Macaca fascicularis: one gene and its partners. The protein of the gene in region 2 interacts with the protein of the main gene of each other region in a pairwise test. Links are inferred from orthologs where the notes say so. Each region holds a gene or a part of one and is shown on either strand. Other genes may lie near its edges.

Region 1 (9,869 bases), on a different chromosome or scaffold from region 2:
CCACTGCCGCGCTCACCTGGCCAACCACGACGACCTCATCTCCAAGGTAACCAACCAGGCCACAGTGGGGCTGGAACCTATAGGGGCTGCCTGGCAGCTCCCCACCGGCAGCCCTGACCCCCTCCTCTCTTCCCACCCTCCCACCCTTTAGTCCTTCCAGGGCAGTCAGGGGCGTGCCTACCTCTTCAACTCTGTGTGAGTATCTGGCCTCCCTTCTTGCTTTCCCTGACATCTGTTGTGACCTGTGACCCCTGGCATCCTGCTGAGACTCCCAGAGTTCCCCGGTGCAGGCAGGAAGCTGTGAGCATCATCTCTTGGATGCGGAGGACAGGCACAGTGCTTGAGGGGGGCCCTGTGATGGCAGGACCCTCCCTGGGACTGCCCCATGTCCCCACAGGGTGAACGTGGGCTGCGGGCCAGCCGAGGAGCGGGTGCTGCTGACCGGCCTCCATGCTGTCGCCGACATTCACTGCGAGAACTGCAAGACCACTTTGGGCTGGAAATATGTGAGTCAGCCACCTCTGACCCTAGGCTAGCCTTTGACCTGACCTTCCAACACCTCCTCCTGACAAGCAGTCATCCTATAGCCTTTCAGATTGCATAGGCCTAGCTCACACAAGTCAGACTGTCTTTTCATCCCTGACCACATTTTCTTCTCTTGCACCCTGCAAGGGCTGTAGAACTTTTCTCTTAACCTATCCCTTCTCCCAGGCACTTGGATCCGCATTTGAGAGTTAGGATATAATCAGAGTCACCATTTATTGAATGCTTATGCGCCTTGCACTGTTGTGTGCCTGGCATCTGTTATCTCATTCAATCATTGCAGTGATCCTTTAGGTAGAAGCTAGTATTATCTCTACAGAACAAGACAGGGAGGCCCAAAGATGTTAGGTAACTTGCCCAAGATCACACAACTGGTAAGTGACAGAATAGGGACCAGAATCTGAGTTGGTTGGTTTTTTTTTTTCACTCCAAACTCTTGACCACCAGCTTATATTGTCATTCAGAGTATCAGAAAAAATTGCCCCAGACTGTGCAACAACATGGAGGTTGGGTTCACCAGCCTCCCTTTCCATAGCCCTCATTGCCACTGCTGCTGTCCAGGGTCTGATTTCACTACCCTGAGTCTCATTTCCTTATCTGTCAGTGGAAGATAAAGCCACTGTCTAGCGCCCAGGATTGTTACAGGGATCAGATTAGATGTGGCAAAGGAAGATGCTCTTGGGACACTGCAAGGAACAGGATTCTTCAGGCGTCGCTTGGAGCTGTGGTGCCTCTGTGAGGTAGATGCCCCAGGCAAAGCCAGCCAGCCAGCCCTGACCTGAGCTCACTGCTGGCCCTGCCACAGATTGGCTGTGTGTCTCTGGACAGGTGGCTTGGCCACTCGACCTCTATCAGAGATGGCCGGCCGGGCACGGTGGCTCATTCCTGTAATCCCAGCACTTTGGGAGGCCAAGGTGGGTGGATCATGAAGTCAGGAGATTGAGACCATCCTGGCTAACACGGTGAAACCCCGTCTCTACTAAAAATATTTTAAAAATTAGCTGGGTGTGGTGGTGGGCACCTGTAGTCCCAGCTACCCGTGAGGCTGAGGCAGGAGAGTTGTGTGAACCTGGGAGGCGGAGCTTGTAGTGAGCCGAGATTGCACCACTGCACTCTAGCCTGGGCGAGAGAGCGAGACTCCGTCTCAAAAATAATAATAATAAATAAATAAAGAGCTGGCCTAGACAAGAGGTCAAAAACTCAAGTGCCAGGCCAGGCATGATGGTTCATGCCTGTAATCCTAGCACTTTGGGAGACCGAGGCAGGTGGATCATCTGAGGTCAGGAGTTCAAGAACAGCCTGACTAACATGGTGAAACCCCATCTCTACTAAAAATATAAAAATTAGCTCGGCGTGGTGGCGGGTGCCTGTAGTCCCAGCTACTCAGGAGGCTGAGGCAGGAGAATTGCTTGAACCCAGGAGGCGGAGGTTGCAGTGAGCCGAGATCGTGCCGTTGCACTCCAGCTTGGGCAACAGAACGAGACTCCCTCTCAAAATAAAACAAGACAAACAAAAAAAAACCCTCAAGTGCCTGCAAGGCCAAGCAGATACTGTAGATGTGTAAAGGGTAGCATAGACTGGAGGGGTTGGGAGTTGGGGGCAGGCTGGGCAAACTGGAGTGAGCACGGCCTAATTATATTTTAATACTTTAAAGTTATTTTTATTAAACTGTCTGCTGTCCAAGAGAGAGTTTATATATGTCGTTTGCCACATATAATACATGTTGTAGGCCAAAATGGCCATGAAGCCACCAGTTTGCAAACCTGAACTGTGAAATCTTTTAGCCACTTCCCTATCTTCTCTGTTGGAGCCATCATTAATACTTGAAAAGTACCTTTGAGTCAGGGAGTTCTACTCTGTGTTTGTGAGAAACGCGGCCCTGCCCCTCCGCCACAGTTTCCTCATATGTAAAATGGGGCCACTCATGTCCACTCCCCAACCCCTGTGCCTTGTGGTGAGACTTGCTCCGGGGATGATGGTCCCGCCCCTCCTTTCAGGAACAGGCCTTTGAGAGCAGCCAGAAGTACAAAGAGGGGAAGTACATCATTGAACTCAACCACATGATCAAAGACAACGGCTGGGACTGACCCCCGCTCCCCGACGCATGTGGCTCCAGCCCGGCCTGGCCGCCAGGGAGCGCCACCGGCTTCCCTCCGCCCAAAGGGAGCTCTGGACCCTCAGGGCCCCTGCAGAGGACGGATCCAGCTCCTGTACATATATTTTATTGCATGCACTGTGACCTTGGGGGGAGAACAGAAGGGGGACGACGCCCCCGCACCTCCTGCGATCTGGCTGGCTTGGATCTCGTTTTTAACCCCCTCCTTCCCCGCTTACCCTATAGATATGGCCTGTGTTCTGCTCTCCTGGCCCCAGTGCACCGTCTGCTCTGTGAACTCCTCCCACCAAGCCCCTCTGACCCCACGCGTGTCTGTCCCCCTCGTTCTGTAGCGTTTGTACATAATAAAACAATGGAGTGGAGACAGCTCAGGCTCGCGTGTAATCCGGGGAGGGGAAGCTCAAGCGGAGATTTCTGCCCCTATAGACCTGTGCGGTTCTGAGACCCGGCGGGGCATGGGGTAGGCAAGTCGTTCAAGCTGGGTCTCCAGGAACCGGGGCGGTTTCACTGCCGGCGGAGGCCCGGAGCCCACTCTGGCTGCCTACGCTGTGACCTCGCCTGATCTGCGTGTGCTCGGCTGCAGCATTTGGCCGCCGCCTAGGGACAGCGCCCCAGGGAGGCAACCGCGTCGCCGGCCTCGCAGCCCCCTCGCGGCCGGACTACAACTTCCAGCGGCCCCCGCGTGGTCCATCCGGCTCTTTCGGGCGCGCCTCAACGCTGGGCCTGCCGGGAAGTGTAGTTCCGAGGGTTCCCCAGCGTGGGACCTTCTGGGAAACCCTGCCGCGAGGCGTCAGAAGCTGTCGGACTGTGCGCGCCTCCGAACCTTGGAGGCTTGGCTCAGCGTGGAGGTTTTTTTTAAAGCATGGGGACCAGGGAGGACTACGGTGCTCGGGACTGGGCTGCGGCCTCCTCGCGACCCCGAGTGCCCTGTGAAATCAGCTCAGGCCGCATCCCTCCAGCCTGCACTTTCCCTCTGGTCATGCTGCTTCCCTCCAGGGCCCGGCCTCCAAGTGAAGGGGGGCGGAGGGCGGTCACCTGCCAGAAGGTCGGGGGCGCCAAGGTGTGTCCCGGGACTCCAGGCTCCGTCCAGGCTCCATGCCCCGCCCCCCAGCTTATCCCTAGCTGGGGCTCCCCCCCGTGGGAACGGGGACCAGCTGGCCGGAAGCGCCAAACTGCGTCCCTGTCCGAGCCCCGGGGATCAATCAAGCCGAGGAGTTAATTATGTAATGAGGGGGCAGGGGGTCGAGGCTAATGAAGCCGCCCGGGGTGGGGAGGGAGGGAAGGAGGGGACCGTACCCAGGTATCCGGCCCCTGCTCGGACCCCTTCGAGGCCCCAGGGGTCTCCACCCCAGCCCAAATCCAGGGCCCCAAAGAGGGGAGGGGCTGTGATCCTGGGTCTGGAAGGGGCTGAGCTGTGAGCTATAAAGGGGGCATCTCGCAGCACCGGGGGCTCTAGGCAGCGAGACCTGAGACCAGACGGAACTACAACATGTACCATCCACGAGAATTGTACCCGTCCCTGGGGGCCGGCTACCGCCTGGGGCCCGCCCAACCTGGGGCCGACTCCAGCTTCCCACCCGGCCTAGCAGAGGGCTACCGCTACCCCGGTGAGCGTTGGGACCAGCTCCTGGGTAGGAGAATAGGGAGGCTGGGGCCCTTGGCTGGCTCCTCATTTTTCCCCGGCTTCCAGACCTGGACACCCCCAAACTGGATTGCTTCCTCTCCGGGATGGAGGCTGCTCCCCGCACCCTGGCCGCACACCCACCTCTGCCCCTTCTGCCCCCTGCCATGGGCACTGAACCGGCCCCATCAGCTCCAGAGGCCCTCCATTCCCTCCCTGGGGTCAGCCTGAGCCTGGAGAACCGGGAGCTATGGAAGGAGTTCAGCTCTGTGGGAACAGAAATGATCATCACCAAAGCTGGGAGGTGAGGGGCTGGTCAGGGTCCGTGTTTCTGGTGGGGGTCTCCTGGGAAAAGCAGAGTCCCTGAGGAGGGGCTAGGTCTGGGAGGTTCCCTAGGGGCTAGAGTTCTGCCTAGGCTTAGAATCTGACTATGGCCTGGGACAGGGGTTACTCTGTGGCTGGAATCAGGAGTCATTCTGTGACAAGGGCTAAGGGCTAGTCTGTGGAGTCTGTGGCTGAGTTTAGGGACCAATCTATGGCAAGGGTCATGGGTCAGTCTGGGGCAGGGTCAGGAAGTCCTGCTGGGTTATAGGTTAGTGTGTGGCCTAGACCAGTGTCCAGACAAGGACAGGGGGTCAAGGGCCAGCCCAGTGACCAGCATCAGGGAAATCTGACCAGGACTGGGGATCAGTATGCAGCTTGAATAGGACTCAGTATATCTAGGTCCAGGGTCACCCTAGAGGCAGGGACATGGTCAGTGTGTGGCCTGTGACGAGGTCTTTAGGGCAGGAGCTCAAGCCCTAGCGTGGAAAGTCCTCAGCCCTACTGCAGGCAGGGTATATTTTTTCTAAAGCAAATTCATCTAAAAGCTGCAGATTCTGGTGCTGGACATCAGGGGAGGAGAGGAGGGTGGGGACAGGAAGCTCCTAGCAAGAAAGTTAGTCACCCCTGCTTCTGCAAATACGCTTTGAGGGGTAGGAGTCATGGCTCTGTTCCTAACCTGCTGTGTGACAGATCGCTTAACCTGTCTGTCCTGTTTCCCCAAATGTAAAATGAGACAAGAAAACCTTCCAGATCTAAGATTCTGCCCTCTGGGTTCTTTTTTTTATTTTTTGAGATGGAGTCTCGCTCTGTTGCCCAGGCTGGAGTGCAGTGGCGCTATCTCGTCAGCTCACCACAACCTCTGCTTCCTGGATTCAAGCGATTCTCCTGCCTCAGCCTCCCGAGTAGCTGGGACTACAGGCACAAACCACCACACCTGGCTAATTTTTTTATTTTTAGTAGAGACAGTGTTTCACCATATTAGCCAGGCTGGGTCTCAAATTTCTGACCTCATGATCTCGCCTCAGCTTCCTAAAGTGCTGGGATTACAGGCGTGAACCACTGCACCTGGCCCTTTTTCCTTTTTCAGAGACAGGGTCTTGCCCTGTTGCCCAGGCTGGAGTGCAGTGGTGCAATTGTGGCTCACTGTAGTCTTGACCTCCCAGGCTCAAGTGACCCTCCTGCCTCAGCCTCTATAGTAACTGGGACTATCAGTGTGCGCCACCATGCCTGGCTAACTTTTTAATTTTTTGTAGAGATGGGGTCTTTCTGTGTTGCCCAAGCTGGTCTTGAATTCCTGGACTCAAGAGATCCTCCCACCTTGGCCTCCCGAAGTATTGGGATTAGAGGTGTGAGCCACAGCCTCCGGCCTGCCCTCTGGGTTCTAATTCCACCTCCCTTGATGTTTCTCTGACAGCTCTGGGGAGCCTGCTGCTATGTCCCGTTACTGGTGCTGGGCCCACCCCTGGCCAGTGGGTAGCACCAGGCCTCTCCTGTCCCCTCCCTTGCACAGGCGCATGTTCCCTGCCTGCCGAGTGTCAGTCACTGGCCTGGACCCCGAGGCCCGTTACTTGTTTCTTCTGGACGTGGTTCCGGTGGACGGGGCTCGCTATCGCTGGCAGGGCCGGCGGTGGGAGCCCAGCGGCAAGGCAGAGCCCCGCCTACCCGACCGTGTCTACATTCACCCCGACTCTCCAGCCACTGGTGCACATTGGATGAGGCAGCCTGTGTCTTTCCATCGTGTCAAGCTCACCAACAGCACGCTGGACCCCCACGGCCACGTGAGGCCCAGGCTGGGACTCTAGGGTTGGGGGGTGCTAGAAGGGAGGCCAAGGCTGGGGCACAGGGCAGGGAATCACTCCCATTTCCTCCCTCCCAGCTGATCCTGCACTCCATGCACAAGTACCAACCCCGCATACACCTAGTTCGGGCAGCTCAGCTCTGCAGCCAGCACTGGGGGGGCATGGCTTCCTTTCGCTTTCCGGAGACCACATTCATCTCCGTGACGGCCTACCAGAACCCACGGGTGAGTGCCCCTGCTTGAGGGGGTGGTGGCGCCCTGCCCAGACCACAGTTGCTTTGACCCTGGATATGTGTCCCCAGATCACACAACTGAAGATTGCAGCCAATCCCTTTGCCAAAGGCTTCCGGGAGAACGGCAGAAACTGTAAGAGGTGGGAGTTGTTCATTCATTCGTTCATGCATTCAACAAATGTTTATTAATCACTCACTGTGTGCCAGGCACCGTGCTGGACATCAGGAATACAGTGGTAAGTAAAAACATTCATTCACTGACTCAGCAAATACTTATATAGTACCTGCTATGTGCCAGGGACAGTTCCAGGCACTGGAGATAAATCAAACAAAGTAAACCAAAGCCCCAGCCCTGATGGAACTGATTTCTAGTGGGGACAGCAGACAAGCAGACAAGAGAAATAAATAAAATGCCATCTGTTAGGAAGCCATTCTAAAGAGAAGAGAGACCAGGTGCGGTGGCTTGCTTCTGTAATCCCAGCACTCTGGGAGGCTGAGGCGGGCAGATCACCTGAGGTCAGAAGTTTGAGACCAGCCTGCCAACACAGTGAAACCCTGTTTCTACTAAAAATACAAAAATTAGCCAGGCATGGTGGCATGCGCCTGTAATCCCAACTACTCGGGAGGCTGAGGCAGGAGAATCTCCTGAACCCAGGAGGTGGAGGTTGCAGTGAGTCGAGATCGTGCCATTGCATTCCAGCCTAGGCAACAAGAGTAAAACTTCGTATCAAAAAAGAAAGAAAGAAAGAAAACTCTGTCACAAAAAAAAAAAAAAAGGAAAAAAGGAGAAGAGAAATAAACAGGAAAGGATAGGAAGGACTGGGGTGAGCTATTAGATAAGAGGCCTGAAAAGGCCTCGGCAGGAAGAAGACACTTGAGAAAGAGCTGAAGGAAGTATGGGAGGGAGCCGGGTGGGCATCTGGCAAAGCACACTAGGGAGTGGGAACAGCACGTGCAAAGGCCCTGAGGTGGGGCTGTGCCTGTGGCGTGGCTGCAGTGGAGTGAGTAGGAGTCAGGCAGGGGAGGGGAAGCCAGGTTATCTTGGACAGTAAAGGTTCCATAAGGCCGTGGGAACTGTTCCAAGTGTAGCCCCTCAGAGCTGGCCCCTGCCCTCAAGGAGCTTCCAGTTTGTCAGAAGAGACAGACATGAACCAAGGAGTCACTCCATCAAATGCAAAAGCATTTGCATTTAACTGTCTCATAACTGTGACAGATGTTATGAGGGAGGGGTGTGTGCTCTCGGAGATCAGGGAGGACTTCCTTGAGGAACTTGCGCTAGCACTAAGGCAAGGATAGGTTTGGTGGCTCATGCCTGTAGTCACAGCACTTTAGGAGGCTGAGATGGAAAGATCACTTGAGCCCAGGAGTCGGAGGATGCAGTGAGCTGTGACCATGTCACTGCACTCCAGACTGCACTCCAGCCTGGGCAACATAGCAAGACTGCATCTCAAATTTTAAAAATGAAAAGAAAAAGGGGCCGGGCGAGGTGGCTCAAGCCTGTAATCCCAGCACTTTGGGAGGCCGAGACGGACGGATCACGAGGTCAGGAGATCGAGACCATCCTGGCTAACACAGTGAAACCCCGTCTCTACTAAAAATACAAAAACTTAGCCGGGCGAGGTGGCAGGCGCCTGTAGTCCCAGCTACTCGGGAGGCTGAGGCAGGAGAATGGCGTGAACCCGGGAGGCGGAGCTTGCAGTGAGCTGAGATCCGGCCACTGCACTCCAGCCTGGGTGACAGAGCGAGACTCCGTCTCAAAAAAAAAAAAAAAAAAAAAAAGAAAAGAAAAAGGATGGGTTCAGCAGGTGAAGAGGGGACAGAAGAGGATTCCAGAGAGAGGCTCAGAGTGGAGATGGGGCAGAAGGATGAGCTAGGTGAGACCGTGCCCTGGCCTTGCCTCTGGGAAGGAGTTTCCATTGACACTAAACACAATAGTAAAGCATGGACAAGCTTGAGCAGGGACAAAATTCCAGCTCTGCCACTTTCTAGTTATTTAATTTTCTGGCCTTCAGTTTCATCTGTAAAATGGGTATAATGATGGCCCCTACCCAACAGGGTCCCTGGGAGGGTGAAATGCCTGGCACTGGGTAAGTACTGTTATTACCATCACCATGGCCATCACCGTCATCATCACCATCACCACCACTGTTTCCCAGGGAGCGAGATGCCCGTGTGAAGAGGAAACTGCGGGGCCCAGAGCCAGCAGCCACAGAGGCCTATGGGAGCGGAGGTGAGTATAGTCCCAATGGCGATGGGGCCAGGCCTGAGACACGGATCCTCCCTAGCCCAACCTCTCCCTTCCCTCTCCCCGGACGCACCAGGTGGTCCCTGCGACTCCACTCTGGGTGGAGACATTCATGAATCAGACCCAGAACAGGCCTCAGCCCCCGGGGAAGTCACCACTGCCCTGGCACCTCCGTGTGGTGGCCCCAGTGCCGAGGCCTACCTCATGCACCCTGCGGCTTTCCACGGGGCCCCCAGTCACCTTCCCACCAGGTGAGTGGGACAGGGGACCAGGCGGGGCTGCGGGACCCTCGGCACTGCTCTGACATCCTTCTCTCCCATGTCAGGAGCCCCAGCTTCCCGGAGGCTCCAGACTCTGGGCGCTCAGGCCCCTACTCGGCTGCATTTCTGGAGCTGCCACCCGGGCCAGGGGGCTCCGGGTACCCAGCGGCTCCACCGGCGGCACCCTTTGCCCCGCACTTTCTCCAAGGCGGCCCCTTCCCTTTACCATACCCCGGGCCTGGGGGCTATCTGGATGTGGGCTCCAAACCCATGTACTGAGCCATTGCTGGGCCCCTCTGCCTCCATCACAAACCTCCTGCTCCCTTCCCCCAGCCCTGGAGCCCCCTCACCTCCACCAGCCCCATCCCCCACACCAAATGGCTGCCTTGGGCCTGCCCACCCCCCCCACAACTTCACACCTTGATTTCACTCCCACCCCGCTCTGGCTTCAAAGCCCAACCAAGGCTGCTGGGAGTCCAGCTGGGGCCGGCTTCCCCTTCCCGGCTCTCACCTCCGTGTGAATGGAAGGGGCTCTGCCTGGCCAAATGGGGCTACAGACCAGTATCCCCACCTACCGGGTCCCCCTGAGAGCCCTTGGGGGGGGGCTCAATCCCCACCCCCACACCACTAGTGCAGGCCACACCAGTCTGTTGTTCTGGGACCAGAGTATTTTTGTTAATAAAACTCAAAAGCCATCCATGCTCAGGAAACATTGAAGCTCCTGTGTTT
Region 2 (9,927 bases):
ATAATTCACAGATGAAATGGTGTCCATGACCATTAAATGCTTCACTTCAAACTCTAAAAAAGACAGAGACCAAGCTCGTCTTCTTCATTACCCTATCTTCAGCACCTCAAACAGTGCTGGGCATAGATACATGTGTTGGAGGAACATAACTCCATGTTGGATGGAAACTGGAATAAGTCAGTTTATATCACACTGCTCTGCACCAGGCACTTATGGAATGCTTTACCCCTGCCTCCTTCTCTAGGTGATTCTGTCTAGGTAGACATCTTTTTCATCATCTCTAATCCCTGTGTCTTGCACAATTTTGACCCACGATGGGTGCTAAAAACTGAACAAAGCCTGGAAAGGAGTAAGTGATTATGTGAATTCATCTCTCCATCACAGAACAACTTCCCCAGGACAACAAAATTCTCCCTCCCTACACAAAACACCAAATCTGCTATTCAGAAACTCCAAAGGCATGCATTTCAGTGTAATCAACAAGCAAATGACTATACACGTTTATCTGCCAGTTGTTGTTCGAGGGACTTTCCATGTGTTAAGCAATTGGTGAGTAATAGAATATCTATAGTAATGCTACAAAGCAAGTGTTCTTTATTATCATCCCATTTTACAGACTAGGAAATCAAGTGTTATGGGCTGAATTATATACTGCAATCCTAAACCCAAATACCTCAGAATGTGACTATATTTGGCGATGAGTCCTTTAAAGAGGTAGTTAAGATTAAAACAAAAACAAAAGCAAAAAAAAACCATTAGGGTGTGTCCTAATCTAATGTGACTGGTGTCTTTTAAAGGAGCCATTAGGATGGGGACAGATATACAGGGAAGACCATGTGAGGACATAAGGAGAAGACAGTCAAGTGCAAGCCAGGGAGAGAGACCTCAGAATGAAACTAACCATGCCAACATCTTGATCTTGGCCTTCTAGCCTCTAGAATGGCAAGGAAATAAAGTTCTGTTGCTTAAGCCACACAGTCTGTGGACTTCATTATGGCAGCCCTCCCAAACGAATACACTAAGGCACAGAGGAACTTGCCTAAGCCTACATTGCCAGAAAACGTGAACTCAGAATCTGAACCCAGGGACTCTGGTTCCTGAGTATATGTATTTAATGATAGGAAATGTTCTCTGTGCTGTCCAATATGGTAGCCACTAGCCGTATGTGGCTCCTGAGCATATAATATGTGGCTAATGCAAATGAGGAGTTGAGTTTTTCATTTAATTTACATTAAAATAAAATTAAAATTAAAACAACCCCATGTGGCTAGTGGCTACCATATGGACATAGCTTTATACTATTTCTAAGTACATCACTTACGATTTTTGCAGAATTTTCTAGAAATCTCATCTGTGCACGCTAAAAACATGCTCTATCTTTGTTCCCTATCCCTGCTGTATTTGATTTTTTTTTTTTTTTTTTCAGTTCTTTCTGATTTAGCCCCTGTTGCCTGGTCTCCTGCTGAGGGGGAGAGGGAACAGGAAGAGAGAGTGAGCTGGCTAACTTTCCAGAATCCTGGGGCCTGGGCAGTGCAGGGTCGTTGGTGTTCTGCTCTAAGCTTAGGTGTTAGCCAACCAAATGCCAAGCAGCACAAACACTGAGTGACATTTTCAGAACTATTAATATTTCATCAGAAATGATCACTTTTCCTTTAAATACACTATTTTAAAAGGTTTTCTACATTCTTAACTATAATTTTATTCGGTCGAGGCCCGCGGAATTTTCCCCAAAGGAACACATCTTCAATTTTGTAATGAAAATCAAAGGAGAATGAAGCTCAGATTTCAAAATTTAGAGTCAACATTTCCAGGAACTCAGCCCCTCTGTAAAGAGCAAGGTTGTGTATTGGGCACCTACTATATAACAGGCACTTTACATACAGTATACCATTAATTCATCCAACACATTTTTTGGGTGCTTACTATGTGCCGGAAACATGATCCTCATAATTTATGAACACCATTTTACAGAAAAGGAATTCCTTTCATCCTTCTCAAATTTACCTCCTCAAAGAGGTGGGCCTGGACCACCACGGAATGTTGCCTCCCCTCTTCTCCCCAATGCCTCACTTTGTTATTGGGTTGTTGCAAAAGTAATCGTAGTTTTTGCCATTGCAGGTGATGGCAAAAACCACAGTTACTTTTGCACCAACCTAATAGTTATTTTCCATCAGAGCCCCATTGCATCTGTAATTATTGCTGCTTTACTCGCTTGGCTAGTTTGCATCGATCTCCCCTCACTAGTATACAGGCTCCATGAGAGCAGGGACCATGCCACTTTTGCCCACCCTTATGCTTCTTCAGTGCCCAGCAACTCATCGGGCACAAAGGAGGGGTTGCATCAGTACTGGGGGAATTATGAATGGGGATAGGAGAAGTTCAGAAAGTTCTTAGGGTCACACAGCGGGGAAGTGTCAGGATTCAACCCAGCCCTGCATTTATAGACTGCCATCTTCTTCTATTTGTGTCCATTCTTCTTTCTTCCTTCTCCACCCTCTTGCTCTTCCTTTCCAGGAGTATTATTAAAGAAACAACGCCCTGACTCTTGGGACCAGAAAGTCTCCCTCAGAGGAGGTACTGTGTCAGTGCCCAGTTGAATGAAGCCGCTTCAGTGAGGGTAGGGGCCTGTTGATCAGTAAACAGCTAACTTAGCCCTTCTCCCAGCACCTCGGACCTCCTACCCCTGCTCCTGCCCACCTACTGAAGCAGTCTCAGTGCTCAAGGGCTAGATCAGGCCTAGAGTGCTGGGGTCTGAATCTCAGCTCCCCTTTTCTTAGTGGGCCTTGGACACTATCATTTATGACTTTGAGATTCGCTTTCCTCCCATTTAGAACGATAATAAAAAGTGGTACTAATTTCACGAGCTTTGATAGGATTGAATGTGAGCCCAGCGCTTGGCACAGGGCAAGCGCCCCATAAAATGGCAGTTAGGATTAAACTCGAGGATGAGGGGGCCCCCCAGGCAGGAGCTGAGGTTTGTGTGGAGCGGTGAAGTGGGGCGGCGGCGCGTTTGGCTTTGACTTCTGATCCGCCGAAGCGCTCTGGGGTCCTTTGGGCCCCACCCCCACCCACCCCACCGGCGGGTCTTGGGCTCCGAACCCAGGGCGTCCCGCGCACCGAGCCGTTGCGTTTGAAACCCACAGAAAGAATTCCCCCGCTCGACGACTGCGAGGGTGTGGGAGCCATTGGCAGGGCAAATTGGTGGGAGCCGCCCGGCCCAGCCTGCCTTGCCGAGTCAGCGCGCTCTTGAGCTGCTGGGCCCTTCCCGGTGCCCATCCCGCAGCGCGGCGCGGCCAGGGCAGGGGTCTGCTGGGGGCCGGGACTGAGGGCTGTGGGCCCATCCACACACGCCTCGTCCCTTCTTTCCCGGGGCGGCAGAGCAGCAGCGGGAGACCAGGAGCAGGTGGGGTAGGGCGAGAGTAAAGCAAGAACTGGGCCGGCGGCGGGGACCGGGCCGTTGGCGCTCGCTCTGCGAGGGGCTCCCTGGGAACGCCCAGGCGAGCGTTTCCTGCGGGGCCCCGCCCCCCGGGTGCCTACCATGGTGTCAGGCCCGCACCCAGTTCTCCGCGTGTCCTAGCGGGCCAGCATGGGCTGAGCCCAGGCGCCGCAAGGTGTCACGGCGGCGTCGCAAGGGGGCAGTGCCAGGGACTGTGGGGAGAGCCAGCCCTCCCCCTCCAGCTGTTCCCAGATGTCATTCTGCCCGCCCAGGCGCCTGGTTCCTGAGCTCCGGGGCATTCCACTGTTCCTAAGCTACTGGTTTTTGTTGACTTTTAAATATTTTCTTCTGAGGGAGAGGGGGAGGGCGGCAAAAGTTAGGAAAGAGGAAATAAAAACAAATCAAAATAAGCCCTCCCCTCCCCAAAAGAAAACTGTCCTCCACCCACCCCTCCCACACAAATCGAAGGCCTCTGAACCTAACCACCTTGTGGGAGCGACAGCCAGACAGAACTGACCCACTTCTGCCAAGACCCATCCTCATCTCCCTTTCTGGTGAATGAGGAGTGGTGGTGGATGTCTTCTAGCCCTGGGTGGACAGAGGGGCTTCCAGAAAGAGCGGAGGAGGATGGCAAGTGGGAATGGGCTTCCTTCATCCTCGGCCCTGGTGGCCAAGCGCCCCTGCGCCCTGGGCCCATTCCCCAGATACATCTGGATCCACCAGGACACACCCCAAGACAGCCTAGACAAGACTTGCCATGAAATCTGGAAGAGAGTTCAAGGCCTGCCTGAAGCCTCACAGCCCTGGACCTCCATGGAGCAGCTGTCTGTCCCCGTGGCTGGAACTCTAAGAGGCAATGAGCTCAGCTTTCAAGAAGAGTGAGTACCCCCCTATTCCGTTGGCAGAAAGGGAGGAGGGAGGAGATGAAGTCTGACCTTCTAGGGGAATGTTCTGGCCCACCCTTGAGGCTGCTGAAACCCTAAAGGCTGTATATTGCCCCTTCCATGGTCCTTTGTCCAAGCGTTATAGAAGAGCTGACCAAGGTTCTGATGTTTCGTGGGTGAAGAGCCAGATTAGGGCTATATTCCAGGCTGCCTCTTCACTAGCCCACTAAGCAGACATCTCTCATCCTAAACGCATGTGAATCTGAGGTCCTTGAAAAACCACCCTAGCCAAGGCTAAGGGTTACATGGCTCGTGACTTTCCCCAGAAGCAACTAGAAGATCCTTCCCCTCTCCCACCTAAAGGCTAGGCATTCACATGGATGAGACTGATGGTTTTAAATCACATCTGGAATTCCCTAATACAGGGAGCAGCTGTCCCATTCAGCCTCCACAGAAGCTGCTGCAAGAGCACACATCAAAATATTTACTGGGAAGGCACTGACATATTCAGAGGACATAATAGAAAATTAAAGTGCGGGAAGATGGCTGTAAATAGCCCGTTTCCTGGATGGGAAATCCTGTGTCTGGGAAACACAGAGCTAAGTGTTTCTCCATCAGGGCAAAGTTGGGCAGATATTGTTGGGGATGGATATTCGAAAGGAAAGGAAGGAGCAGAGAGGAAAAAGGGACCTCATTAGGAAAAGAAGGTAAATCTGCTGTGGTTATTAATACCACTGTTGAGCACTTATTTCACATTTTGCATCTTCAAAGTGGACTGTAAACTTAATTAATGCTCCCAGAGTCCCTATGAGGCAGGTATTAGTGTCCCCATTTTACAGATGGATTAAGTGTTAATAATTAAGAGCTAATTAAAGACTAACCGATAATTAAGTGTTGCCTGCTCCAACACATGCTACAGCTCAGTTCAGAGATGCTCTGGAGTTGGGGAGCCATTCAGGCATTTATCAGCTGCCTCAGGTTTCAGGGATGCCAAAGCAAGAGCTAAGAAGAAATGCAAAGTGTAACGGACACCCACCTCTGCACTACCTGCTGTCCCTCTGTGGGCTCATTTACTTACTGCAGATGAAGGTGGAAGGTACTTTGGCTAGTCCTGCCTCCCTGCCCTGTGCTCAGCACGACATGGCTCAGATAGGAATGGCCTATCTACAGCCAAAACCCTGCTGTCAGGCCCTTCAGTGGCATTGAGCCCTTCTTCCCTGCTCATTGCCATCTGCTCCGGGACAGGGCCTTGGCAGGAGGGCTGTGCTCAGCTCTCAGTGGCCAAGGAGCTGATTGTCCACTTCGTGGACCAAGGGTCAGTAGCAATTTCCAGTAGATGGCACCCTCTTTGCCAGGTCACATGGAGTTAATGGAGACAGACTCTACTTCCAGTCTGCACTTGGCTGAAAATTGAACTGGTGCACCTTTGGCCAGCTGCTTAACTCCATTTGGCCTTTATTTCCTCATTTGCAAATTGAGGATGATATGCACTGCCTTGTCCACCTCAGAGTTGATAATGAGGATCCGATGTGATGGGAGACAGTGAAATGAAAGATGCATTATACAAATCAGGCTGCCCTTAACTTGTACTTCTTCAGGTTGGGATTTGTTGTTGTTGTTGTTGTTGTTGTTGTTGTTGGCGGCTTCAATCTGGGATTTCACACTATGCTCCATATACCTCAAGGTGCTTCAGGGGTACCGTGGAGTCAAGTGGGCTGGTTGCTGGGCCCCAAAATCCATTTCAGCCAGAGCTGTTTAGCTTTTATCAGTTTTACTTACTGGAGTTCTGAGAAGGGCTGAATTTGAAAAGTGTGTTTCTGCTATTGAGAAAAGAGATAGGAAACCACTGACTTAGATGAATAAACAATATCCTAATTGTCAACAAAATAGAACACAATGAGCTATTCTTAAAATAAAGGCAGTGTGCTGGTGGAGTCAGATAACTCTGGTTTCAGATTCCATTTCAGCCCCATGACATTTGAAGAATTTGTTACGGTTTAATTTATCTAAACTTTGGTTTCCTCATCTGCCAAATGGAGATTAATACTACACATTTTGTAGGGTTGTTGGAATGATTAAATGGGATATTTAAACATCTATGGTAATAATTCAGATTTGTAAAAATTCCCTGCAATTCAGATGTAATCATTTCTTTAAGCTCTACAATTATTGTATGAGGTAGGTACTCTTTTGAACTTTCCATCTCTTTTTACTTTTTATTATGCAGATTTTCAAACACGTAGAATAATATGGTGAATATCTATGTGTCTACACTGAGTTTTGATAATTATCACATTGTGCCATTCTGGCTTCAATTGCTACCTCCACCCCTCCATTTATAAGTGAAATTCCTTTTACAGATAAAGTGGCTGAGGTTTGGAGGGTTTAATTTCTTTGCCCAAGGTCCCACAGTTAGGAAGTGGTAGAGTTTCAGAAATGAAACCCAAGACCACCTTGGCCCTGAGGCAATAATGTTGGCTATCCTCTCTTAGAATCTGAGGCATCTTTGAATAGTCAAAATATTTGGGAGTCCCATGTTCTGAATGATCACACACAGAGTGAAAAGCCAGAAAGCTGTTCTTATGGTTTCTAGAATGCCTTCAGGTGCACAAGACACCTCTCAGCTAGTGTTTCTGCTGCTTAATTTGTAGACCCGGTTTTGGTGGTGTTTTCTTTTATTGGGGTAGATAGGTAAGTGCATTCTAGAACTCTTTTTGGCCAGAATTTATTTTTCTTAACTCTGTACCTATATATCATAGGAACCCAGACATTTCAAATTTGAAAGAGATTTTTGAGGCCATCTTCTGCTGCTTGAATCCCCTCCTTAATGTCTCTGCCAAATGGTGCACTTGTACCACTTGTACAGTTTCTCAGACGGGAAGCTTACCATTTCCCTTTGCTGCCCCTTCCCTTGCTATGAATCCCCTAAAAGACCATTTGCTTTCTATCACTGAAATATGTCTCTATCAAGCTAATTCCCATTGATCTGGATTCTGCCCTTAGTACTCCAAGCCAAAGCTATTTCCTTTTTCTTTCAGTACCCCTTTAGATAGTGAAAGACAGCAAGACAGCAACAACATTCCTTCCAGAATGTTTTTGTCTCTATAAGCTAATCTCCTCTGGTTTTCTATGTTTCTCCCCACGTGCCAACTTGGTTAGTTTCCTGTCCACACAGCTGGTCCTTGTGGCAGTGTAACTTGGAGAGTCAAGTACAGTAATCCGGGGTGGTCCAATCCATGTAGATTGGATCCTCCCTGTCTGCATTCTGCTTCCTGTTAATGACGACCAATACTACACTCACTTTTTTTCCCCAAGCCGACTTTCACTCTATGGACACATTTTGAATGTATTAATTAATTCACTCAGTTATTGAGTTAACAAATATTTGTTAAACTTCTACTATATGCTAGAACTGTGTGAAAAACTAGGGGGAATGGAGCTGTGAACTCCATTAATCTCTGTCTTCCTAGAGCTCACATTCCAGTACAGGAGAAAAAAGAAGCATGTAAATACAAAAACTGATAACTTCGGAATGTGAAGAGAATGGTATTCCAGGTGGAGGAAACCCATAAGAAACACATAAAAATAAAAAAGATAATTTCGGTGACAAGTGTGATGATGGAAATAGAGCAGAGTGAAGTGATAGGAAGAGCTCCTTTAGGCCAGGTGTCAAGGAAGGCTTCTCTGAGGAGATGTGATTATCAGGGCTGAGACCTGGGTTCTAAGAAGGAGCCAGTCAAAGGAAGTTCTGGAAAGAATGTCTGGACAAAATGAAGAGCAATGGTCAGGTGTGGTGGCTAAGGCCTGCAATTCCAACACTTTGGGAGGCTGAGGCTGGCAGAACGCTTGAGACCGGGAGTTCGAGACCAGCCTGGGCAATGTGGCAAGACCTCATCTCTACAAAAAATACAAAAATTAGCTGGGCATGGTGGCACACATTAGTTCTAGCTACTCGGGAGGGTGAGGCGGGAGGAACACTTGAGCTCAGGGAGGTCAAGGCTGCAATGAGCCAAGATTGCACTACTGCACTCCAGCCTGAGTGACAGAGTGAGACCCTGTCTCAAAACAAAGACAAAAGGAAGAGCAAATGCAAAGACTGTGAGGTGGGAGTGAGCCTAGAGAGGGACAGTGAGACTGGAGTCAGGAGGGGTGGGGACATGGCCACAGTATAAGTATTACAGAGACAGGCAAGGCCTCGGGAGGCCTGGAGGATCACTGTGGGGAGTTTGGATTTTATTCCACATGTTATGGAACACTTTTGCAGGTTTTTAGGAAGGGCTGTAACAAGAACATATTCACTAATGTTTGAATCTCTGTCCAACTTCTGTGTGGAGATGGTTTGTAAGTATGTGAAAGACGAAGTGGGAGGCCTCTGGGAAGATACTGTCAGAGTCCAGGGGAGGCCTAATGGTGGCAGTGGCTGGGTAGGAGTGACTGCAGTAGGGATGGAAAAAGTGGAGGATTCAATGTGTGTTTTAAGATGAGCCAATGGACCTACTGAGGATTTGGGTACACAAACAGAGACATTGAGGCCACGCTCTGTTTCATGTGCTAGTTCACCCTACAAACAAGGACGGCGGCATGCATCAGTATCAATGTGACTGGGATGTTGAGACCCAACACTGGGAAACTCAAGGTGGGGAGTGTAGGGCTTCAGTGGAAAGGATTCCAACCTGTGGCCCATGGGGTCTCTGAAATCATTCGCCAAATGCTGAGAGATGTGAGGATGTCTTTCAGGCAAAAGGGTGTACAGAAGCTTTCCTCAGATTTTCAAAGAGGTGTTGACCCCTCCAAGAGGAGAAAACACTAGCTGAGAGTATTAGACTCCAAAGATCTCCAGAGCTAGTTTCTAGTCTAAGACATCAGCCTGAGTTCCATGTCTGAGTCTTGTCTTTATTACTCCCGTCACCAAGTTTCAAGCTTTTAAAATAATAATGACAATAAAAGAGGCTATGTATTCCAAGTTTAAGCCCCTGGTTGGACAGTGTGCCATTTACAAAGGTGGGGAAGAAATGGGGAGTGACAGGTTTTGGGGGAGAAATCAATAGTTCTGTCTAGTGCTGATTTAACTCCAAAATCTAATTAGTCTTAAGTTTGGGCTTAGAGAATTGTGGCAAGCCACTTACTCAAGGATTACTTATTCATTCATTCCCCTAATCTCTAAAACTTCAAAGCCTCAGAATGAGGTCTTTGGATTTGCTGTTGACTCCATTGCCCTAACTACAGAATGACATTTGTTCATTCTTCATTCATGAATTCATTCAACAAACACAATTGCCTTCTCAGTACCAGGCCGTATGATGGGTCCCAGGGATGCAGAGATAAGTAGAACAGAAGCCCTTTCCTCAAAGAGCTCCCAGTCTAGTGGGTGGGATGAACACAGATACATCTGACGACAATGACATTCAACAAATATTGCTGGGTGTGGTGGCTCATGCCTGTAATCCCAGCACTTTGGGAGGCCGAGGTGGGTGGATTACTTGAGGTCAGGAGTTTGAGACCAGCCTAGCCAACATGGTAAAACCCTGTCTCTACTAAAAATACAAAAATTAGCTGGGCATGTTGGCAGGTGCCTGTAATCCCAGCTACTCAGAAGGCTAAGGCAGG
Region 3 (10,064 bases), on a different chromosome or scaffold from region 2:
AGCAATTCTCCTACCTCAGCTCCTGAGTAGCTGAGATGACAGGCGTGTGCCACCATGCCTGGCTAATTTTTGTATTTTTAGCAGAGACGGGGTTTCACCATGTTGGCCAGGCTGGTCTCGAACTCCTGACCTCAGGTGACCACCCGCCTCTGCCTCCCAAAATGCTAGGATTACAGGCATGAGCCACCATGCCTGGCAGAGATCTAACTCTTATACTTAACTTTTCTTTAAAATATTTCTTGTCACTTTTACCTATAATCAAAATCCAATTAACAGCTTACACATTCATTTTGGTAAAGCAAATTTCACAGAAAAGTAGACAAAATTATAAGAGTTTCCTGGAGACAACACAAGGAAAACAATGTTTAAATGTAAAATAGCCTGTGTAATGTTAGGTGATGTAATGCCCAAGTGAATAAAAGATTTTTAGCCAAGCAAACTACTGTTTCTACTTTAGAGGAAAAAAAGTCAGTTTTCCATTTGTATTTTAAGGAAAGAACAGAAAGCACAAAGGTTTTTCTTTATTAGTGGCCTACTAGAAATGAGCAGTGCAAGAGTCTACCTGTACTATTCTAATACAGTAAGATACTGGACACAAAATGGAGGTAACTTTTTAAAATAGATTGGCTTGGAAGTTGAAATGTAGATTAATGGATATAACCCAATAGAAAGGGATTTTAAAATAAAGCCAAAGTCTATTTTTTTATTTACTTTCTAATTTTGAACAGGTTACTCAGTCTAAATCTTCTTTGCCTTTATTTCCTATAAAATGTAGGTGATACTTGTCACTCGACTTCCTGGAGGTTAATTCTTCAGCAAGAGGTGACCCTGAGAGCATACTTTAAAATAATTGCTGTACAGCCATTGAGTACTAACGTGATGATAGGTTTTCAAAATATCTCTGTAGTGGACCCTGCATAATTACATTCACTTCTCTTAGACTGTAAAATACTTTCTTGACTTGTTTTAACAGTAGAGATAGCAGTACAATTTGAATTTATGGTTTAGGCTCTGCAATTAGAGGAACAACTGCAGTTTCCTCCTACCCTTCAGAATATGGTCTGTGTAAAACTGATGTTTGCCTAACTTATTTTAAAAGTTGGTTACGTTTTCAGAAAATAAAGATAATCACTTTTGCCATGGTTATAATCAAATCTAAGCTTTCAGACTTGAGAGCCATGGTGTAAAACTCAAGGTTTACTTAAATTATGCTGACTTTGCTAGAATTGGATAAATTCTATATAAGCCAAGTATGAGTTCACATGTACTCAAATATGCAGTTTTCACAAAGCTATTACTCTTGTTAATCAGGCTTGTATGATTTATTCCTTACCACGAAAGAAGTAGACAATTGCCACTTTTATTTCTAATCCTTAAGTTGAATGTTTCTTCTTGGATGTAAGTTCAAATAAACTGATCTGGATAAATTTTCATTTCTTCTTAATTAAAACTTCCTATGTAAAATCCAAAGGCTTTGTGTTTTATTTTAAAAACATATGTCTTCACACATTCAACTTAGAATCTGAAAAAAATAGAGAAATCCACATTCTTACACATTTTCTAATTTATAATACACTCCTTTTAGTTTTTTGTGTTTGGATCTTCCAGAAGCAGGTGCCAAGAGGTGCAAGAGATTTATTTGGAGTGAAATACCTAGAAAGATAAAGAAGGGAGCAGAAGGTGGGGAATTCTTCATACCACTCTGAAAGTCTGACACCTGGAAGGAAGGATTGGGTAGGGGAGCTTTGGACTTCAGTGCACCTTCAAACTGCTAGATGAGGACTTAGTTCCCAAGCAAAGGTTCCCTGTAGACAAGTCCACAGGGACAGGAATGGCCTAGATCTAGACCCCTCCAATGTGCTCAGCTACTGGCTGATTGCAGGCAAGGAAAAGTTGGAGGCTATCCATTACTGGTACAGTGCCAGGACTAGGGTATGGTGAGGCACTTGGGCACAAATATTTGACTAATAGACTAAGGAAGACAATGTTTTGGTGCAATATTGTAAAATCAGAATTGATGCCAAAAAAAGCCTATGATGAGCAAGATACCAAATTTCAAATCAAACATGACTGGATTGCTGATTTCTTGTTGCTTCAGGCTTCACCATGGCTCCACAAAGCACTGCTTATTCACTGTCTCCAGTGAGGACAGGCTAGGTCCACACTAGTCGTGTAATTTTCCATAGGCCTGTGTGCCCTTATCCAAAAATAAGACTCTGGGCTTAGATATTTTAAGTTCCTCTGTTGCCCCTTTTTCAGTGTGAGAATTGTGTTTGCTGTGGAATACATCCAGGGATGTCTTCCTTTAAATAAGTTCACAGTTTTAAATGGCCACCCCCTGACTCACTAATGCCTTACACAAAGCAAGATGCAAGTGCACCACATGCTTTTAGGATATTTTTATATGTTAAAAAAATGTATATTGGCCGGGCGCAGTGGCTCACGTCTGTAATCCCAGCACTTTGGGAGGCCGAGGCAGGCGGATCACAAGGTCAAGAGATCGAGACCATCCTGGCCAACATGGTGAAACCTCGTCTCTAAATTAGCTGGGCAACGTAGAGCGCGCCTGTAGTCCCAGCTACTTGGGAGGCTGAGGCAGGAGAATCGTTTGAACCCGGGAAGCGGAGGTTGCAGTGAGCTGAGATAGCGCCGCGCCACTGCACTCCAGCCTGGCAACAGAGCGAGACTCCGTCTAAAAAAATACATATATTGCATATATGTGTCTATTTTGCACACCATATAATTGTCACGACATCTTTATTGCTAGTTAGTAGGTTCCTTGACTGGGGTCATGTCATCTGTGCCTGACACAGGAGGTAATGTTTATTCAGAAATGAAGATCGCGGCTGGGCGCGGTGGCTCACGCCTGTAATACCAGCACTTTGGGAGGCCGAAGAGGGCGGATCGCTTGAGACTAGCAAGGTGAGACCCCATCTCTACTAAAAACACAAAAATCAGCGGGTGTGGTGACACACGCCTGTAGTCCCAGCTACTAGGAGGCTAAGATGGGAGGATAGCTTGAGACCACCAGGCAGAGGTTGCAGTGAGCCGAGATCGCGCCACTGCATTCCAGTCTGGGTGACAGATGCCTCGTCTCAAAAACCACAAAAAAGAACATAGGAGAAGAGGCATTGATGAGGAAAACTCAGCAAAGACAGCAAATATCAATTTGTTAAGCTATTTGCAAAGGTTTTCTCTTTCCTGTATTAATCTTTTCCCTCTCCCCACTTTTGGCCCGAGGATCTGAATCGTTCGGTCAGGCAGAAATCAGACCGCGTCCATACCCAGCCTCCTTCGAGGCCTAGCTGTAAAAACCGCTGAGCAAAGGGAATCCAGAATCAGCCCTCAAGCAACTCAAGACAAGTTAGCAATTTCCGCCGGTATGCCGTGAACACCGGCGACCACTGGCGTTTCCTCTGAGTCCTCGGAACTCCGGAAACTCTGGGAGCTTTCAGCCCGCCCATCAGGGGAAAGCGGCCCGGGGCCGGCGCCAGGTGGAGCCCATCCCCCTGCGTCTGGCGGGCCGCAGTACCGCCAGGGGCCTGCGGGAGGCGCACGCGGCGCGGCCTGAGGGGAGGGGGAGAGCGGGCGGAGGCGGTGCGCTCGGCGCTTCCTGTTCCGGCGCCAGGAGGAGCCGCGCGCTGCTGGTGCTGTTGCCGCCGCTGCTTTCCCTGCCGTCAGTCAGGCTGCGCCCGCTTCTTCAGGGCCCAGTCCCTCGGACCCATCGCCGCTTCTAGACCCTACTGCGGTCTCGGATATTGCCGGGTGAGGCTGCTTCGGTACTAGTGGGAGTCGTGAAGGGGAATCGGGGGGCTGGGGTTGCGGAGCCCGCGGGCGCGGCCAAGCGGGAAGCGGGCGCGGTAACTGAGGTGCATCGAGTCACGTCCAGTGCTCGGGCCGTGGTCGCCTGCCTGGGACCGGGGCTAAGCGTTTCTCTCGGTCGCCTTCCTCCACGCTGCGGGCTGCCTGGGGATCGCCCCCCAGGGAGAAGGTGTAGGAGGCCGCTGACGTCGCGCCCGACGGGTTTCTGGGCGCCTGACGTCAGGCCTGGCTGCGGGGCGGGGCGGGCGCGGGCCGGCCCCTCCCCCACCCTTTCCCGGCGGGCGCGACCCGCTCGGAGGCCGGTTCGCTCCGGTTGATCCCGGACTCCCTTTGTTCGTGCGTCCCTAAAAGGCTGCCGGCCTCGCGCCTTTTGGCCCCGATTTCCCCTCTACCCCCACCCCATTGCACCCATTCATTAATTTCTAATAAAAAGGGAAAAGCCTGAAAAGATTATTACAGGAATCTCGGGCGCTTGTTAATCCGCAGTGTGACAACGCTCTGGTTATGACTCACTAGAGGAATTGCCCACGGATACGTTAGATGAATACCCAGGGCAAACCACGAGAAGGGCAGAATTTAGGGATCTCCTTTTTAGGACTGAAGAGCGCATACCTACGATAGCTTATATATAGGGGGACCGTTTTCCTCTTTACCTTGAAAAGCAAGAGTACAGCTTTTAATAGGTAAAGATTGCAGTGTTAAAGCATGAAGCCGGACTCGCTCGACCGAAAAATTTTTTTTTAGTTTTACTGCTAGAGAAATACACACCTGGGGGTTGTAAAGGTCTGTTTTGAAAAGGAACCCTCATTACAGGCAAAGGTAGCCTTCAGAAACATTTTGTAAGTTCTTTGTTCACTGGTGTTCTTTGAGGGAAGAATAGAAATTTTTCATGCTGGCATCTCTGAGCCCACAATGCAAAGCGAGTTTGCTTCAGAAACTTGGAGTGAATTGCAAATATTGGAATGTTCTTTTCCTCTCTCCAGGAGGAATGGGTAATATCCATCCCCAGTCTCTTAGCTGAAACTTTTGAAGCTAGTGTGTTTTGAATTCAAAAATACTTGGATTTTATCTTCATCTTTTTAGAAAGACGACATGTTAGACGAGAGATAACACCCCCAGCAGAATGGGGCACCGCATCATCCAACATTAATATTTGCAGCAATAGATGTGAGCATTCATTCTAAGTGGGGGCGAATAGAAACTATAAATAGCTTCAGGTCACATTTTGCCACCATGTAAGATTTGTGCCAAACTTGGGAAAGTTTATTTTTTCGGAAGTCTCTGGATTGAGAAGGGCAGATAAAGATTTATGGACCTAAAAGTAGGCATCGTAAAAGCTAATATTTGTTGAGGTTTTGCTATATTCCAGGCAGTGACTAAGAGATTTGTTTATTATATAAGTCTTAGAGCAAATCTATGATGTGCATACGATTCTGATCTCCCTTTGCCTCGAGTTTGGAGAATTGGACTTGTCAACTCTGGCCAGTCCAACCAGTGAAGAGCTGCAGTTGTAGCTGGATGGTCATACTTTAGCGTTTACTCTTTTACCTATAAGCTAGATGTCCACATACAAGGGAAAGAGAATTTGGTACCTGTTTTCCACCCAAGCACTATTTTAGGCACTTGATTGGACAGAGTCCAATTTAGTTCATCGCAGCATTACTGGTCTGGTTGTTTTTTGTTTTTTGTTTTTAACTGCGTGCTTTTTACAAACAGTATGGCCTGTTCTTTATAGTTCAGGTTCATTCAGATGAGCCGACTCTTACTGAAATAATTCAAACCCTCGTCTAAGGTCTCTCTGCTAAGACTTTCCCCTTCCCTTGCTATATTCTAACCCATCTGAACTGCTTATACCTCCTCACAGATTCTCCCAATTTTTACACCAACTGCTCTTCTTTCCCTAGGACCCATGTCACCGCCCTCTACTCCCAGCTCTTTCTTTATGGTCCTTATGGACTGCAAAAGACAGCACATCTCAGGAATCTCCATGTAATACTAAAATTTCTCTAAAGCCCAACACATTGTTTGGCACATATGTTCCAATAAATATATAACTAAATGCCAAGAAATATTGCAGGTTGCATATCCCTTATCCCAAATGCTTGGAACCAGAAGTGTTTCAGATTTTGGATTTTTTTTTTTATATTACACCAGTTGAGCATCCGAAATCCAGAATGCTCTAATGAGCATTTTCTTTGAGCGGCATGTTGGCACTCAAAAAGTTTCAGATTTTTGAGCATTTCAAAACCCCCGTTTTTGAGTTGCCCAAATGTAAAAAATGGAACATAATCAGATAAATGAGCCAATGCTGAAAACTAGCATGTATTCTAATTTATAACTTTTTATTTTTGGAGACAGTCACTCACTGCAAGTTCCGCCTCCTGGGTTCAAGCGATTCTCCTGCCTCAGCCTACCGAAGTAGCTGGGATTACAGGTGTCTGCCACCGTGCCCAGCTAATTTTTTGTATTTTTGGTTGAGATGGGGTTTCACCATGTTGGCAAGGCTGGTCTTGAACTCCTGATCTCACGTGATCCACCCCCCTGGGCCTCCCAAAGTGCCGGGATTACAGGCTTGAGACACTGTGCCCAGCCATTAATTTATATTTTCAGTATGATACATATCATCCCCTGCATACTAAACAAATCAACCCCAAAATTTTGATTTTATTTAATTTTGCCTAATAAATATCTAACATGTATATAGCACTTTATAGATTAAGTGTGTTACTATTTTCTGTGCAGTGGGTAGGAGCTATAACTTCTACAGATGGAAAATGGTCTCATTGAGAAGTTTATTTTTGTCAAAAGATACCGTCAAAAAGGATTGATGTCTGGGTTTCATCACTGTGTAGTCCCATACTGTTTATTACTCCGTCACAATTTGAAGGCTCTGTGAAATATCCATGAACTCCACTAGTAATTCATGGAGTTCAACTCTCTTAACCACCCTCCTCCCTGACCCATGATTGAATTGTCATTTTTACCCTAACAGCCATGAGAGTTTCCAAAATGTTATGTTTTACTTTTCTAGTGTATGTCAAAAGAAATTTTGTACTGTTTTAAAATTACTATTCTTGCTGCTCAGAGAATAAAAATTATTATTTTTCAGACGATGGGTGGATCGGACGATGCTATAAAATGGTAACAAAGTTTTGGAAATAATCGCTTTAGATTATTCCAAAAAGGAAAAAAAAATGAAAGCCTTTCTTAAGTATACATTTTTTTTATGAGTTCAAGGTTACATTGGCCTCATCTTAATAATCAGCAGTGAATCAGATATTTTGGAATAGCTTTATATTTTTATTTATTTTTCTTTTTGAGACAGAGTCTCACTATATTGCCCAGGCTGGTCTTTAACTACTGGCCTCAAGCGGTCTTCCCACCTCAGCCTCCTGAGAAGCTGGGATTACAGGTGCACACGACTAAGCGCGGCTTAGAATAGCTTTTTAGAAAACCTAAACTTTTTACGTTCTGCAACTTTCCTCATACTGAAACGTTCATGTCCAACTCTGTTTTTCACCTTTTCTAATGAAAGTATTCTCCAAAGAGCAAATTGGAATGCTTCCAATTACAGTTGTTCCCCCTTATCCTAGGGGGACACATTGCAAGACTCCCCAATGAATCCCTGAAACTGAAGTCTATACACTGCGGAAGCCTAAGTGTACCATGTTTTTTATATCTAATAACCAAGATGGGCTGATAGCGTATACAGCATGGATACACTGGACAAAGGGATGATTCATGTCCTAGGCAGGAGGGTGCAGACTTTCATTTTGCTACTCAGAACATGCTCTTGCCCCATTTACTTAAGAATTGGCCAGGTGCAGTGGTTCGTGCCTGTAATCCCAGCACTTTGGGAGACCGAGGCAGGCGGATTACTTGAAGCCAGGAGTTCAAGACCATCTGGCCAACATAATGAAACCCCATCTCTACCAAAAATTAAAAATTAGCTGGGCGTGGTGTCATGTGCCTGTAATCCCAGCTACTCGGGAGACTCAGGTAGGAGAATCACTTAAACCTGGGAGACTGAGGTTGCAGTGAGTCGAGATCACATCACTGCACTTTAGCCTGGATGGCAGAACGAGACTCCATCCCAAAAACAAAACTTAATTGTTTATTTCTGGAATTTTCCATTTAATACGTTCGGACCTCAGGTAACTAAAACCATGGATGAGGGGGGATTACCCTAACATGAACGCTGATTATTCTAGTAATGGAGAACTGGTTACTTTACTAAGACAGTGCCATAGAACAGAACTTGTTATTAATTCCTATGCTTAGGGCTTTGTTTTTTAATCACGAGATTCTAGCACCTCCCCTATCTTCCAAACTTGGATTTTGAACTTTAAAATTTTGAAGTAGTATTGTGAATCAGTTGAATATTATTAACTTGTAGAATAATTTATGTAATTCTGTGACTAGGTAACTGTGTAATTCTGAAAACCTGAACAGTCAAGACCATTTGGTTCACTTTGATTCTCAACTCCAGAATTAATATGAACTTTGATAAAGAATCATTTTCTATTTCAGAAAGGCTAATCCTGTTTAAAAAGCATGTTAGTCTTACAACTTACCATATATTTTCTACACTGTTAGTCGTAAAAATTTTATTGTGTGATATGATTGATGTTAAACCTTAACATGGAAATGGGTTGTATGTGTTTTTTGATATTCTGAATAAAAAGGATATAGCAGTTGGGATAGGCTTGGGTTCTTGTCCTTCATGTTCTTGTCCTTTCATTCCTCATGATAACCAAATCATAATTAGAAATAAGATGCTAAGGGGCCAGGTGCAGTGGCTCACACCTATAATCCCAACACTTTGGGAGGCCGAGGCGGGCAGATCACCTGAGGTCAGGGGTTCAAGATCAGCTTGACCAACATGGGAAAACCCTGTCTCTACAAAAAATACAAAAAATCAGCCGGGCATGGTGGCGCATGCCTGTAATCCCAGCTACTCGGGAGGCTGAGGCAGGAGAATCACTTGGACCCAGGAGGCAGAGGTTGCGGGGAGCCAAGATCGCACCATTGCACTCCAGCCTGGGCAACAAGAACGAAACTCTGTCTAGAAAAAAAAATAGTAAGATGCTAGGAATATAAGAATACAAAGGTGACTCTATATTAATACTGAATTGATAGGTCAAAGGAGAAAAACCATGAGATCCATTCATTAGAGACTGAAAAGTCTTTTGAGGGAATTTAGTGTCTTCTTGCTTTCTTTATTAACTAACAAAATAGGAATAAATAAATAATAGCATAGGCATAAATTAAAAACTTAATGTAATTTTTTAAAATCTCAAACTAAAAATGGGAATCATACTTAAACATTAGAAGCAGTCCCAGGAGAGTTGGAACAAGACTGCTGTGCCCGCTATCACTACTTAACATTTCATTATTTAAGTCCTAGCAGGTGCAAAAGAGAAAATATGCATAATTATTAGAGAAGGAAAATTATTTTTTGCAAATGGCATATTTTTTTAAATCTGGAAATCCCAGAGAATCAAGTGAGAAACTTTGAAGAATAATTCAGTAATGTTGCTTCCTACCCTAGGTTAATTAATATAAAGAAGAGTTAAATTCCTATGGCATATTTCTGGTCATAAAAACATCACTAAACTTTTAAATAAAACCCAAAACACTTCTAGTGTTAAACATTTAAATGGACTGGGCACAGTGGCTCACACCTGTAATCCCAGCACTTTGGGAGGCCAAGGTGGGCGGATCACAAGGTCAAGAGATTGAGACCATCCTGGTCAACATGGTGAAACCCCGTCTCTACTAAAAGTACAAAAATTAGCTGGGCGTAGTGGCACGCACCTGTAGTTCCAGCTACTCAGGAGGCTGAGGCACGAGAATCGCCTGAACCGAGGAGGCAGAGGTTGCAGTGAGCCGAGATCACACCACTGCGCTCCAGCCTGGCGACAGAGCGAGACTCCATCTCAAAAAAAAAAAAAAAGATTTCTGCTAAAAATTTTTAAAATTAGCTGGTTGTGGTGGTGCATGCCTGTGGTCCCAGCTATTCAAAGGCTAAGGTGGGAGGATCACTTGAGCGTGGGAGGTCGAGGTTGCAGTGAACTGTAATCACACCACTGCACTCCAGGCTTGGGTGACAGAGCAAGACCCTGTCTCAAAAAAAAAATTGAAATGAATGTGAGCTGTGTATACATTTGAGAAAGATTAATAAAAAGATAATTATTTGCCTCCCTATTCCAGTTCAGGGTCTCAATGGCTGGAGACTTTCC

Evidence for each region.
Region 1: the proteins of C1H1orf94 (region 2) and TBX6 interact in binary tests that used the Homo sapiens proteins (3 or more experiments, as listed by UniProt). The link is inferred for Macaca fascicularis from reciprocal best matches to the Homo sapiens genes C1orf94 and TBX6.
Region 3: the proteins of C1H1orf94 (region 2) and MAPK1IP1L interact in binary tests that used the Homo sapiens proteins (3 or more experiments, as listed by UniProt). The two-hybrid records come from large-scale screens. The link is inferred for Macaca fascicularis from reciprocal best matches to the Homo sapiens genes C1orf94 and MAPK1IP1L.

What each region holds. Positions count from the first base shown.
Region 1 is NC_088394.1:28,003,390-28,013,258, forward strand, and holds TBX6 (T-box transcription factor TBX6), read left to right. Parts: upstream 1-3,413; 5' UTR 3,414-3,719; exon of another isoform or gene 3,720-4,100; 5' UTR 4,101-4,148; coding exon 4,149-4,266; intron 4,267-4,349; coding exon 4,350-4,584; intron 4,585-6,018; coding exon 6,019-6,382; intron 6,383-6,480; coding exon 6,481-6,627; intron 6,628-6,704; coding exon 6,705-6,775; intron 6,776-8,791; coding exon 8,792-8,865; intron 8,866-8,920; coding exon of another isoform or gene 8,921-8,956; coding exon 8,957-9,131; intron 9,132-9,205; coding exon 9,206-9,419; 3' UTR 9,420-9,850; downstream 9,851-9,869. UniProt on the Homo sapiens protein: T-box transcription factor that plays an essential role in the determination of the fate of axial stem cells: neural vs mesodermal. Acts in part by down-regulating, a specific enhancer (N1) of SOX2, to inhibit neural development.
Region 2 is NC_088375.1:200,801,786-200,811,712, reverse strand, and holds the start of C1H1orf94 (uncharacterized protein C1orf94 homolog), read left to right. Parts: upstream 1-3,510; 5' UTR 3,511-3,994; coding exon 3,995-4,314; intron 4,315-9,927.
Region 3 is NC_088381.1:122,904,536-122,914,599, forward strand, and holds the start of MAPK1IP1L (MAPK-interacting and spindle-stabilizing protein-like), read left to right. Parts: upstream 1-3,608; 5' UTR 3,609-3,765; intron 3,766-10,064.